Anolis sagrei: one gene and its partner. The protein of the gene in region 1 interacts with the protein of each later gene in a biochemical or structural test. Links are inferred from orthologs where the notes say so. Each region holds a gene or a part of one and is shown on either strand. Other genes may lie near its edges.

Evidence for each region.
Region 2: the proteins of RARA (region 1) and TADA3 form a complex in vitro, tested with the Homo sapiens proteins (2 studies listed by BioGRID). The link is inferred for Anolis sagrei from reciprocal best matches to the Homo sapiens genes RARA and TADA3.

The regions. Positions count from the first base shown.
Region 1 is NC_090026.1:39,867,855-39,874,709, forward strand, and holds the start of RARA (retinoic acid receptor alpha), read right to left. Parts: upstream 3,025-6,855; 5' UTR 2,885-3,024; coding exon 2,536-2,884; intron 2,530-2,535; exon of another isoform or gene 1,341-2,529; coding exon of another isoform or gene 1,172-1,340; intron 1-1,171. UniProt on the Homo sapiens protein: Receptor for retinoic acid. Retinoic acid receptors bind as heterodimers to their target response elements in response to their ligands, all-trans or 9-cis retinoic acid, and regulate gene expression in various biological processes.
Region 2 is NC_090022.1:27,113,017-27,120,388, reverse strand, and holds the start of TADA3 (transcriptional adapter 3), read left to right. Parts: upstream 1-4,357; 5' UTR 4,358-4,370; coding exon 4,371-4,375; intron 4,376-4,930; coding exon 4,931-5,162; intron 5,163-6,472; coding exon 6,473-6,723; intron 6,724-7,372. Other genes in the region: tubulin tyrosine ligase 3-like, read right to left, coding at 100-218, 3,805-3,807. UniProt on the Homo sapiens protein: Functions as a component of the PCAF complex. The PCAF complex is capable of efficiently acetylating histones in a nucleosomal context. The PCAF complex could be considered as the human version of the yeast SAGA complex.

The DNA of each region.
Region 1 (6,855 bases):
CCATGTTGTACATTACAGCATGTTACGCACACAAAGTTCAGAAAGGACCCTCACCCCAAATATGGCCTGTTTCCCCACCACTACCATCCCATTCTCTGCTAGCTCACCCACCCACCCACTCACCCACAGAGAGGCTGTTCGCATATGTATATATAGAAAGATTAAAGGCTTGGTGTACTATTTAGTTAATTGGATTTTGCCGGAGATCTTATCAGAGGCTGGGAACTGAACACCCAGCTGGAAAGGAGGGGAGTTTACTTGGTGCAACTCCTCTCCTCTGTGTTTCCTTCCCCAGATTTGGATCAAATTCATACAAAAATCAATCTATGGAAACATAAACAACTCCTCCCTCCAATGCAAGTCCTCTAATTGTTACCTAGATCAAACTAAACAGACCGTGGGACTGTTTGTCCACCACTGGGGAGTTGGGGGAAGGGACAACATATAAGAGAAAGCAATGGCATACTTGCACTGAGCAGAGACAATATTAGAAGTTTGCACTGTTACAGACCCAGCTGAGAGTATTTTCAATATGGGCCAATGGCAAGGGAGAATTGCTGATAAATAAGGAGGGAGTATCCACCCACATAAACTTGAGCTGGACACCAAAGCATTGTGGAAAAAGTCCTTTCACCTACATATAAAAATATAAGTCACTCTTGTTTGTGGATTTTGCTATTTGGCACCATTCCCTTCACCGACCACTCGAAACACAACCAACAGAATTGGAAATATTCCTTAATACTAACAGATTAAAAGGGAATCCAAAGGTAAAAATTCTCATAGAGAATCTGAAAGCATTTGGGAGGAAGGGGAAAGGAAAGCCATGTGTCTCAACAGGGCATGGTTCTCTCCAAAGCAAAAATAAGAAAAGGACCCAACATGCAGCGCGCACCCCAATACGCATACAACCACAATACAAAAGCACCATTTTATAGCCCCAGCTCTCGATCCCAACCCTCCAATGCAAATCACAACAGGGTAGGCTTTGGGTCTCCCTAAACCAAAGATGACAGATCCCATCCTGCCAACCTCCACCCCACTCAATTACAGGGCAGCTCCTAATCTTTCTTAATAAGGTCACCTCAAAAGCTGGCAAGAGGGGAGAGAGGGCAACGAGGGTGTCACCCCAGCTGGGCCGGGCCCAGGAGGGGGATCGCATTATACGTACAGTGATTGGAACTGTTCCAATGCTGGTTACGGACAGGGGTGCTGTAAGGGTTAGGGTTTCCGGGTCCTTTGTCCTGGATCAAGCAGGCACGGTTCTGGTTGTAAAAATCCATCATGAAGAAGGGGTTAGGACTGTTGCTTAAACCAGCTACATCCACACTTTCGTACATCTTCTCCAGGCAGAACAAGAGGATAAGAAGGTTGGGGGCTTGTGGAGGGTGGAGGGGGATGGGAAGGAGGGAATCAAAGCAAAAGTTTGGTTTCTGAAGGATCGGAGAGCAGAATCCTATACTGGCGACGACGACGAATCCCAAAGAGACAAGGGGGAGGCTTTTTGTCGGTTGTTTTCTGTTTCCTGATCCTTCTCCCCCTCTCCGCCGCCTCTTGATCCCTAGCGGGGAAGTATTTAGGGAATCCAAACGCGGCTGGGGAATCCGCCAAACAGGCCGGGTTGGCCACCAGTGTCTTTGCTTCGAGTTAAAACACACAAAAAAACAAAACAAAAACAAAACCCAAAAGATAATATTCAAGTCTTCAATCTTCTATTCCAGACGCGTCCCTTGGGAAATAGGCCGGCCAATCCAAGCTGAGATGCTGTTTCCCGTTTCGAGACAAAATGTATTTATAAATCCCAAAAAAAGAAAAGAAAAGAAAAAGAAGAGGAATGTTTTACTTTGAGAAAAAAATAATAATAACAAAATCCACTCCGCCTTCCCAAAAACCAGAAGGAGACTCACTGGTGTTAGATAGCATTTTGGTCACATTTCCGCCTCCTGTTCAGTCCCATGGTTCTCTCTCCTTCTCCCAAACTAACAAGAGGAAAGAAAGGAAAGGGAGGGGAAGGAATATCCTTTCGCTTCAGTTTTAAAAAAAGGGGGGAGAAAAAGTTTCACACACACTCATACAAAAAAAAAAGAAGAAGTAAGGCTTCCTGGTAGAAATAAAAGAGCTTTTTCCTGTCCAGCAGATGACTGAATGTAATGCACCGAAAACTGTGCTCATGGGTTATGTACACACATATCTTAAAATTGCATCTCTGTCCCCTGCCAGAGAAAGAGAGGGAGGGAAAGGCGGAGGGGAGGGGAGGAGAGAAAGAGAAGAGATGAATGGTACAAATGTGTTGTCAGGTTTTGAATGCTTGAGAAGATGCCAAGGCCTGGAACCCCCCCTGAATCTCCTTGGTTGCAGATTTCTTTTGGTCCTTCCTTCCTTCTCTCCCTGGGAAAGAGAGGGAAAGAGAGAATGTGTGGGTGCGTGCACGCCTCTGTGTGTGTGTGTGATGTACAGGACTGATAGATTAAAGGCAGCACAAAATCTTTCCTGACACGAAAAGTCGGCTCTGGACTGGCTTAACTCTTTCCTTACCTGCCACGTGCTGTGTCTTGCGCAGCCCCAACCAACTGCAGGGAAGCACAGGATGGGGGAGGAGGAAGAGGAGGAGGAGAGAAAGAGAGAGGAATGAATGAATGAAAGAAAGAAAAGGGGAGGAGGGACGGAGGAAGGGGGGGAAAAATGACAGCCATGGAAAAAAATGCCTCTCCAACAGCTGTCTCCAGCTACAAAGCTGCAGCGCCTGCATCTTCCTCGGGTGCTTTCCCCATCGCTGGAGCGGAGCAGCAGTGGCGGCTTCCTCGGCGAGGAGGACAAGCAGGAGGGCCCCCTCTTTTTTGTATGGCAAGGAACCGGCCCGGGCGGCCCCTTTCTTCGCCTGCATCACCCCTCTCAGAAAGGGAGGTCTCTGCTGCTCCTCTAGCCGCCCCTCATTTGCGTAATGTTATGCAGCTGAACTCCGCCTGAACTCTCCTTGCAAAAAAGCTTCACCTCCAAATGACCCACTCACAGGCCTTCTCCTTCCCTGTGACATCACAGGGGCGCCCTCCTCCTCCTCCTCTTTGCCTGCCAAGGGCTGCCACCGGCATGCCGCTGCTGCTGCTTCGGCCAAACATCACCACACGGTCGAATCCAGACCCACCAGCCAAGGGAGATACCTGGTTATAGGGACCATGGTGCAGAGGCCAGTAAGGAAAGAGGGAGACAAAACCTGCTTAGATATGTTTATAACAAAAAAAAGTGGGATGTAGCCGGGCAACTGACATCTGTACACACGTAGACACACACCTCTGTCTAAGGATGGGGATTTGGATCCAAGATGAGTCAATGTACCTACAAACTCACTAAGGCCGAGTAAGCCGCACCGAGTCCCTCCGGGGAGAGACGGTGGGTTATAAAGATTATTTATTTCTGGTATTTCTACCCTCGTCTCTTCTCTAACCACGAAGGGAGGACTCAGGACGGTATACATTTAGTAAGACACATACCTCTGTCTAAGGATGAGGATTTTGATCCAAGATGAGTCAATGTACCTACAAGCTCACTAAGGCCGAGGTTTTACTAAGGCCGAGTAAGCCGCACCGAGACCCTCTGGGGAGAGACGGTGGGGTATAAATAAATTTATTTATTTCTGGTATTTCTACCCCGTCTCTTCTCTAACCCCGAAGGGGGGACTCAGGATGGCTTACATTTAGTAAGACATACACCTCCGTCTAAGGATGGGGATTTGGATCCAAGATGAGTCGATGTACCTACAAGCTCACTAAGGCCGAGGTTTTACTAAGGCCGAGTAAGCCGCACCGCGTCCCTCCGGGGAGAGACGGTGGGGTATAAATAAATTTATTTATTTCTGGTATTTCTACCCAGTCTCTTCTCTAACCCCGAAGGGGGGGACTCAGGACGGTTTACATTTAGTAAGACACACACCTCTGTCTAAGAATGGGGATTTGGATCCAAGTATGCTGGGGAAAGTGGAACGCAAATGGAAGAGGGGCCGACCAAGGGCAAGATGGATGGATGGCATCCTTGAAGTGACTGGACTGACCTTGAAGGAGCTGGGGGTGGTGACGGCCGACAGGGAGCTCTGGCATGGACTGGTCCATGAGGTCACGAAGAGTCGGAGACGACTGAACGAATGAACAACAAATTTATTTATTTATGGTATTTCTACCCCATCTCTTCTCTAACCCCGAAGGGGGGACTCAGGACGGCTTACATTTAGTAAGACACACATCTCTGTCTAAGGATGGGGATTTGGATCCAAGATGAGTCAATGTATCTACAAACTCACTATGGCTGAGGTTTTACTAAGGCCAAGTAAGCCGCACCGAGTCCCTCTGGGGAGAGACGGTGAGGTATAAATAAATTTATTTATTTCTGGTATTTCTTCCCCGTCTCTTCTCTAACCCCAAAGGGAGGACTCAGGACGGCTTACATTTAGTAAGACACACACCTCTGTCTAAGGATGGGGATTTGGATCCAAGATGAGTCAATGTACCTACAAGATCACTAAGGTCGAGGTTTTACTAAGGCCGAGTAAGCCGCACCGAGTCCCTCCGGGGAGAGACGGTGGGGTATAAATTTATTTATTTCTGGTATTTCTACCCCGTCTCTTCTCCAACCCCAAAGGGGGGACTCAGGACGGCTTACATTTAGTAAGACACACACCTCTGTCTAAGGATGGGGATTTGGATACAAGATGAGTCAATGTATCTACAAGCTCACTAACGCCGAGTAAGCCACACCAAGTCCCTCCGGGGAGAGACTGTGGGGTATAAATAAAGATTATTTATTTAGTTATTTCTGGTATTTCTACCCCGTCTCTTCTCTAATCCCGAAGGAGGACTCAGGACGGCTTACATTTAGTAATGATACAATGTCGCTATATAACAATTACAATAATATAACCAAAATTAAATACATACGCAATCATTAAAACCAGTACATACAACATTAATTAAAACAGTAGAGCAATATGATAGTATCAATTCCAGTCAATGTCCAACTAAAGTGCTCATTATGTCTGCTGCCCAAAAACCTGTCCACAAAACCATGATTTTAATTTTTTCCTGAAAGCCAGGAGGGATGGAGTCGATCTTCTATCGTTTTGGGAATACGTTCCATAGGCGGGGAGCCACCGCCGAGAAGGCCCTGTCTCTCATTCCTGCCAAATGCATTTGCGAAGTAGACGGAAGCGAGAGCAGGGCCTCCCCGGATGATCTTAGGTTACAGGATGGGACGTAGGGGCTCAATACAGGATGCATCCGGTGGCATAGTGGGTTAAAACTCTAAGCTGCTGAACTTGCTGACTGAAAGGTCGGCGGCTCAAATCTGGAGAGCAGGATGAGCACTCGCTGTTAGCCCCAGTTTCTGCCAACCTACCAGTTTAGAAGCATGCAAATGTGAGTAGATCAATAGGTAGCGCTTCAGTGGGAAGGTAATGGCGCTCCATGCAGTTATGCCAGCCACATAGCCTTGGAGGCATCTACAGACATTTCTAAGCTCTTCAGCTTAGAAATTGAGATGAGCACCCCACCACCACCACCACCCCCCGCAGAGTTGGACACAACTAGACTTAATATGAAGGAAAAATCTTTATTTTTTTATTGATATAAATGGATTATATCCCAATATGATAAAGACACACCTACATATCGTGACTCAGTTTGGAAAGCCCTGCACTAAGGGCTGGAGAAATTAGACAGGAAACACACGTTTTTTGATCCATGAAATCTTCTCAACATCAAAACTGGATCAAAGCATAGGTACGCCATCAAGCAAAAGAAGAAATGCAGAAGCAACTGACTCAATGCCTTTTCAGTTAATCTAGACTCCACATTTGCGAGTTTGACTTTTGTAGATATGATTCAAATGTTCTCTCTAGGAATCCCGAGATCCTCCAGGGAATGATTCTATGGTCAGCTTCCAACAGAAATTGACCACAGAGTTATGCTGGAGAACCTTGAAATTCCTAGAGAGGTGTTCTCTCAGTTTTAAAAATAGTATTTTTTTATTCACGGGTTTTTTTCATGGGATCCTGTGCCCTTACTGCCAGTGAATGTGGACAGCTGACTGTAGCAGGTTGGTCCATTTGTCTATCTAGATCACTCATGCTTTCCTTAATAGACAATGGCATTTCAGGGTTACAGAAAGGGTCACATGAAGTCCTATCTGGAGATGCCAAGGACTGAACACTGGCTCTTCTGCAGGCACAGAATGGATCCTGAAAGCTATAGGCCTCTTCTATCAGGAACATGGACCAAAAATATTGTGTGACAACAATGAGTGAGAACTGAACTATGTCTATTTTGCTAAGGTTGGCAGTTTGAATCCACGAGACGGGGTGAGCTCCTGTCTGTCAGCCCCAGCTTCCCACGCTTGGACATGAGAGAAGCCTCCCACAGGATGGTAACACATCTAGGTGTCCCTTGGGCAACATCCTTGCAGAAGGCCAATTCTCTCACACCAGAAGTGACTTGCAGTATATTCTCAAGTTGCTTCTGACACGATTAAAAAAAACTATTTTGTACAAGGATCGAATTTAATACTGTAGTCAGTATCCCAAGGTTCTCTGATGTCACACCCGTCCCATTTTTAGAAGCATAAATGAAAGAAAACAATTATATTTACTCCACAAACTTGGTAAAACAAATTGTGAAAGTACGTGGAATGGTTGGTAAAGGCAGAACGGGGCCTGTGTGAAACACGAAGAGACAGGAGATGTGTTTCATGCATCCTTTTGCTCCTCTCTCATGACTAGCCAAACCAAAAGAAATTAGACAAAGTAAGAAATTAAAATCATGTGTTTTATTTAAACCCTTTATAAATAGGGCCGCTTTTGAATTCATGGTGGAG
Region 2 (7,372 bases), on another chromosome or scaffold:
CTAATTCCTTTCGGGGGGGGGGGGGGGGGGAAGAGAAGGTGACAACAATACCCTCTCCCCAAGAAATAAAAGCTTGCACATTCTCCTCCTTCTCCTCACCTGACTTCCACCTCAGGCTTGTTGTGCCGCTCCACCACTTGGGATGAGAAGTTCTCCAGGCACATAGCAGCCTGCAGGGTAGCACGCACGGCATTGAGATAGGGACGGAGGGTGGCGGTCTGCAAAGAAGGAAAGGCAAAGGCATCAGACGCTGCAAGTTCCTCTTTAGGTCTCCATGACGACACACCTTAAAAACAGCCCACATTCTCCCAGTCCAATCAACCTATTAGCTAACATTGTTCCCTTTTACCAGCCTACACTGTTCTCCAGCACATGTTTGTATTTTTTAATATACAACATACACTCATTGTATGTAAATTGTATGTAAATTGCAGGCAGGTTTTGAGGCCAACATTATTTATTCTTATATGACCCAGGGGTAAGTTGAGGGTAATTCTGCTGAGAGGAGAGAACACCAATGCTGCCTCGAGGAGTCAGTCACCTCTGGCTGCCATTCTCCCACCCAGGTATTCAAAAAGCAGCATCACAGCAGGCCAGTAGAAGGTGTCTATGCTTTTTTAAGGTTCACCCAGAATAAGCTAAGCTCTTGCCCTTTCCCTCTTTATTGAAAGGTTCCTTTTTTGATCAGTGTTAAAATACAGTACTTGCTTTGACCTATGGAAAAGTCAACAATAGGTTTTGGGAGCTGATTTTTTAACAAAAAAAAATTCTAGACTTTGAAATCCATATAGAGTATGTATTTTAATTTTATTTTATTATACCCTGACCTTGAGGAAAGGTGGTTAAGAAATAAAATCCATTATTTTGTTATTTTGCAGATTCTCTACTACAACTGTCTAGACAATTGTATCATTAATATTAAGAACAATTCAACTGTCTAGACCAAGCATGGACAAACTTGGGCCCTCCAGGTGTTTTGGACTTTAGCTTCCACAATTCCTAACAGCCAAAGTTTTCCATGCCTGGTTTAGAGATATTAATGAGCATATAAGAAATATGTTTTAATTATTACATTTTTTAAATTATGTTGTTTTCTGGTGTTGAGCAGAGGCAGGCATGAGATAAAATATGTTGTTGTTGTCGTTATGGCTGTTGTTATCACGCTCACTTGTGGATATGTCAACTCAGGCTTTGGGTTTACTAAAATTTCTAGACTTATACATGGCTTTAGAGTATGTATTTTAATGGTTTATGTTTTTATGTATTTTAATTATATTGTCCCCTAGACTCAAGGAGGGGCGGTTAAGAAATAAAATTCATTATTAATATTATCACATTGATCCATGGATATGCAGACTCCGCTTTTGCAGGCTGACTTGTCCACTACAATTGTCTAGACCAGGCATGGGCAAACCTGGGCCCTCGAGGCGTTTTGGACTTCAACTGATAGGAACTGTGGCTATTAGGAATTGTGGGAATCAAAGTCCAAAACACCTGGAGGGCCGAAGTTTGCCTATACCTGATCTAACCCTTCATCCAAGTCATTACGTGTAATAAAGATATTGTACAGTACTGGGCCCAGGACAGATCCCTGCGCCACTCCAAGTCACTTCTTTCCAGGATGAAGTGGAACCATTAGTGAGCACCCTTTGGGTTCGGTCACTTAATCAATTACAGATCCACTGGGTTGCTGAGAGTTTTCCGGGTTGTATGACCATGTTGCTGTAGCAATCTCTCCCAACGTTTCGCCTGCTTCTGTGGCTGGTATCCCCTGAGGTTAGTTAATCAAACTATTATATGACTAACACTACGATATTATTATTTGAAACACAACAAGACGAGTCCACAGCAGTCAAGATCACTCTGCTTGCTGTTGTATTGGATCACACGTCGGACACTTCCCAAGTGTTTATGACTGTGTGATGTATCAGTGAATAATGCGTGCAGATCCCAATAAGGTGGCCTTCTGCAGCTGGCAGATGGCAATTTTGTCAGCGCCGATTATATTATTAATATTATTATTACCATTACCATTATTATTATTATAAGGAAAATTCTTAAGCAACATGCCCTCAGAATGCACTTTACTACTGGTTAGGATTGACTGCATTCCCTCTCTTTGAAAACCCTATACTAGTTATGTCCTACCTTGTTCATGCCCAGCGTTTATTTTTAAATTTTAAACTATTACATTTGGCCCGGCCATAGGTTTTTTAATCCTTGTGTTACAGTTTATTGGTTATTGTTTATGTGTGATTTATATTAATTGTATTGTATTTACTGGTTTTGCTTATTGCTTTTCTTTATTGATGTACTGTTGAGCTTGGCCTCATGTAAGCCGCTCCGAGTCCCTTGGGGAGATGGTGGTGAGGTATAAATAAAGTTTTATTATTATTCTTATTATTAGCTGTTATTTAACAGGGTTTTGGCTGTTTGTTTTTGTCGTGTCAGGTGTGACTCCTGGTGTGAGAGAATTGGCCGTCTGCAAGGACGTTGCCCAGGGGATGCCCGGATGATTTGATGTTTTTATCATCCTTGTGGGAGGCTTCTCTCATGTTCCCGCATGAGGAGCTGGAGCTCATAGAGGGAGCTCATCCGCCTCTCCCTGGATTCGAACCTGCGACCTGTTGGTCTTCAGTCCTGCTGGCAGAGGGCTTTAACCCACTGCGCCAACGGAGGCTCCTGGACTGTAAGACCTGTAATTGTGCTTCAATGCAATGTAATTTTGATATGTTTGAAATGTTTTAATATATTTTAATCATCTGAAAGACTATTTTAATTTATATATTTGTGTTTCTTATAGTTTTATAATACTGTGTTCTATTGATATTGTTGTTATCTGAATCTGGCATTGAATTGTTGCCATAGTTTGCAAACTGCCCTGAGTCCTCTTCTTTGGGGTGAGAAGGGCAGGGTATAAGTACAGTACATAATAATAATTATTGCAAATGAGATCTATATGCTGGATTTCGTATCAAGAAATCACAAGTTGAACACTTCCCAACCCTTTAAGCCTATATTATTATTATTAGTATTAGTATTATGGAGCCCCCGGTGGCGCAGTGGGTGAAGACCGACAGGTTGCAGATTTGAATCCGGGGAGAAGTGGATGAGCTCCCTCTATCAGCTCCAGCTCCTCATGCGGGGACATGAGAGAAGCCTCCCACAAGGATGGTAGAAACATCAAATCATCCCCTGGGCAACGTCCTTGCAGACGGCCAATTCTTTCACACCAGAAGCGACTTGCAGTTTCTCAGGTCGTTCCTGACACAACAAAAATATTAATATTATTATTAGCACTACTATATTATGCTGAGCTTGTGGACCAAAAGGTCGCAGGTTCGATTCCAGGGAGTGGCGTGAGCTTCCGCTGTCAGCCCTAGCTTCTGCCAACCTAGCAGTTCGAATACATGCAAATGTGAGTAGATCAATAGGTACCACTTCTGCAGGAAAGTAATGGCTCTCCATGTAGTCATGCTGACCACATGACCTTGGAGGTGCCTATGGACAACGCTGGCTCTTCGGCTTAGAAATGGAGATGAGCACCACACCCCAGAGTCAGACATGACTGGACTTAATGTCAGGGGACAACCTTTACCTTTTACTATATTATGACATTACTATTTTTCTGTAAGGAATCCTGCGAGAAATGTGGCCAAGGGCCTCTCTCTGGGACCTTCTTCTTCGCCCATTGACAGGCCTTCCCTCCTTCTTTCTGGCCTCGCCTTCCGCCTCGCCCGCCTCGAGCTCTTCCCTCCTCCGCCCTCCATCCACCCACCGAGGCCCTCCCGCTCACTGACTCACCATGGCAGCAAAGGCGACAGAAGCAGCAGCAGCGGCAGCAGCCCCGAAGCTTGGTCCCTAGTACGGAAGCGGAAGCGACCCCCGCCAAGACCAGATTTTCCCCCGCTTCCGGAATATCCGGACTGAACCACAATCGCTCTGAGAGGGGGGGTATCTGTATTTGAAATCCCGCCCTTAGGGCCTTTTAATTCTCTCCCGTTGTTGAAATAAGCCGCGATATCGTTTTAAGGAGACATAAAAACCGAGGTAGATATTCCCTCTAAAGTAGGACAGCGGCTACTGAGTTCCCTCCTGGTTCCTTTCCAACCCACCACCTCCCTTTTTCCTAAATTGGTACAACCCAAGCGACAGCCGGATTCCATATTTGGAAACAAGAGCGAGCGTGGGCGGGGCTAAAAGGAGCAGCCAATAGGGAGAGGCGGGAGGAGGGGAAAAAACCGGCCACAGAGATTGGTTCTAAGCCCTCGGAGGCGGGGCAATAAGCGCAGCGACGGGCCAATGAAAAGGCGGCAAGGGGAACCGGAAGTGGGGAGCGAGGAGGAAGCGGAGGAGGAGGAAGTAGTCTAATGCGGTAGAGCTCATTCGTGTAGATAGCCCTCCCTCCTCCCCCTCCCCAAGCTGTCCTGTCCTCCTGTGCCCCGGAAGTAGACCCTGGGACCGGAAGCCGCCCACAGCATTCTCCCCCTTTCCTTCCAGCGCCACCTCCTGGCCTCTTCCCTCTCCCCATTCATCTTCTTCACCGGCCTTAAACAGGCAGCCTCGCTTCTCCCCCTCCATTCTGTGTTTCCATTTGAATGCCTGCTCTGGTCAGTTCTGCAGAAGCAGGCCCTTGCATACCCCTCATCATTTTGGCCCTCTTAACCCTTTCCCTCAAAGCCATGGCTCCCATTCTTCTCCTTCTGAGCCTTTGCTTCTAGCTACTCCTTCTTGTCTTTTTAATTATGCCCGCAAAGCTGTTTCTTCACTGAATAGCTGTCACTGTTAGTGTCTCTTCCCATGACAACTGCCTGGGCCAATTCCTCGCCGACCCCACTTTATTTCTAGCTGTCACATTTATTTGCTCTTCCTTTCTCTCTCTCTGGTTGCACCTGCCTCTGTTGCACTTGTGTTGCTTTTCATTTTGCAGGACCATCAACACCGCCACCAGCAGCATGTCTGAGCTCAAAGACTGCCCCCTTCAGTTCCACGATTTTAAGTCCGTGGACCACCTCAAAGTATGTCCCCGCTACACTGCTGTCTTGGCCCGTTCGGAAGATGATGGGATTGGCATCGAAGAACTCGACACCCTGCAGCTGGAGCTGGAAACGCTGCTGTCTTCTGCTAGCCGCCGACTTCGTGTGTTGGAGACAGAGACACAGGTTAGGCGACGACTTGGAATGGTTCAGAGCAGGGCTTCTTAGACTTTTTCCATCTGCAGCACCTTCCTGTCTTGAGAAATGTTTAGGTAAAGGTAAAGGTAGTCCCCTGACATTAAGTCCAGTCATGTCTGACTCTGGGGTGTGGTGCTCATCTCCATTTCTAAGCCAAAGAGCCAGCGTTGTCTGTAGACACCTCCAAGGTCATGTGGCCGGCATGACTGCATGGAGTGCCGTTACCTTCCCGCCGGAGCGGTACCTATTGATCTAATCACATTTGCATGTTTTCGAACTGCTAGGTTGGCAGAAGTTAGGGCTGACAGCGGAATCAAACCTGCAACCTTTTGATCAACAAGCTCAGCAGCTCAGTGCTTTAACCCACTGCGCCACCGGGGGCTCCTGAGAAATGTTTACATAATATAATAATAATAACTTTATTTTTATACCCCACCAACCATCTCCCCATGGAGACTTGGGGCAGCTTACAAGGGACAAGTCCAACAATTACAAATAAAACACAACCAATTAAAAGCACCAGATAGAATATAAAACAATCACAATCGTAAACAACATCAAAATAATATGGCTAAGAAAGAACATAGCTAGACATAGCTGCAGTTCAGGCTCCATGAGTGGAGTACAAACTGAAGGGAGCGCAAGGAAAGTAGATCAACAATCAAGTAGACAGGGCTGGGAATAGTGTCATCAAAAGTGTTGAGGTAGGGCGCTAAAGGGCCGGTGTAAAATGCTGAACTTAAGGTAGGGACAGGGAAGATTACTGGTGGACTGCCTAATCAAAAACACACTGAAACATCCAGTTATATATCCTGCTTTTCTCCCTAATGGGACCCTAAGCGACTCACAATATAATACTTACTTACTTAGGGGATCCCTCGTAGGTCGAGGATGATGGTCCTCTTGGCGGTGGGTCCATAGGTGGCTATGGAGCCCTATTCTTGATTCACATGTTCTCCCACAGTGAGGACATAAGTTTCGAAGTGGAAAATGGTCCCGGTCAAGGTTGGTTTTATGCGCCTTCCTCTTGGCACATTTCTCCCTTTTGCCCTCCATTTGTGCCTCTTGTTTTGTTTTTATTTTCTTGGAATATGCCTGTGCATTAGTTTTTTTAATGTGTGGAGGTCGGTACACAGCTGATCAGCACACAGTTTTCACAGAGTGAGCCCCCTTATTGGGATCTAGTTAACAAAGTTATTGTGGTGTTGATTTTTGTTTTGTTCAGATCCTGACAGACTGAAGCTTTACTGGGATCTAGTTAACAAAGTTATTGTGGTGTTGATTTTTGTTTTGTTCAGATCCTGACAGACTGGCAAGACAAGAAAGGGGACAGGCGATTTCTGAAGCTAGGCAAGGAGCATGAAGTGGGCACACCTATCAAACACGGGAAACCCAAAAAGCAGAAACTAGAAGGGAAAGGAGGCCACAGCACAGGACAGGGCCCTGGCCGGCCCAAATCCAAGAACATACAGCCCAAAATTCAAGAGTATGAATTCCAAGATGACCCCATTGATGTGCCTCGTATTCCCAAAAATGATGCTCCTAATAGGTATGTAGGAGAAGTGTTTCCATCATCTTGTTTATGTTGTCATTAGCAACATGTTATATTGCATATATATTGTTATGAGAAAGAAAGGAGTTTTGGAAGAACCTTACCACCGCCAGCCAGAAGTTTCCAAACCTGATTTACAGTCTGGTGAGGTAGACAATTATTACTCTCTCTGAAATTACTGTTTCTGATATGAATGGAGATTTAATCCTGGTCAGCACACCATGCTATTGGGGGACAATTACTTCCACCTAATGCATCTTAATTTCTGTTATCCATTAATGAGGTAAAGCTGGTTGTTGAAGTTCAGTATTTGGAGGCTTTCTTCAACTTGATCATCTAGTACTTGATTGTAGTGTGGACTGTAAACTCATGTAAGCAGTAGTAAAAAAACAAAAAACAAAAAACAGAGCAGAGAAAGGCAGTGGAATACTGCCACATGTCTTTCTTCAACTTGATTCTGTTTGTTCAAAGTGAGGACTGGATTCTGGTTCAGAAAAAAGTATTTTTCTGTTATCTAAATCAGAGATGAGAAACTTTTAGCACTCCTAATATTTTTAATCAAAGTTGCCATAATCTACTATTGACCATGCTGGACGCCAGAGTTCAAAATATATTTAAGGGTGTATTATTTCCTTCTACTGTGCTG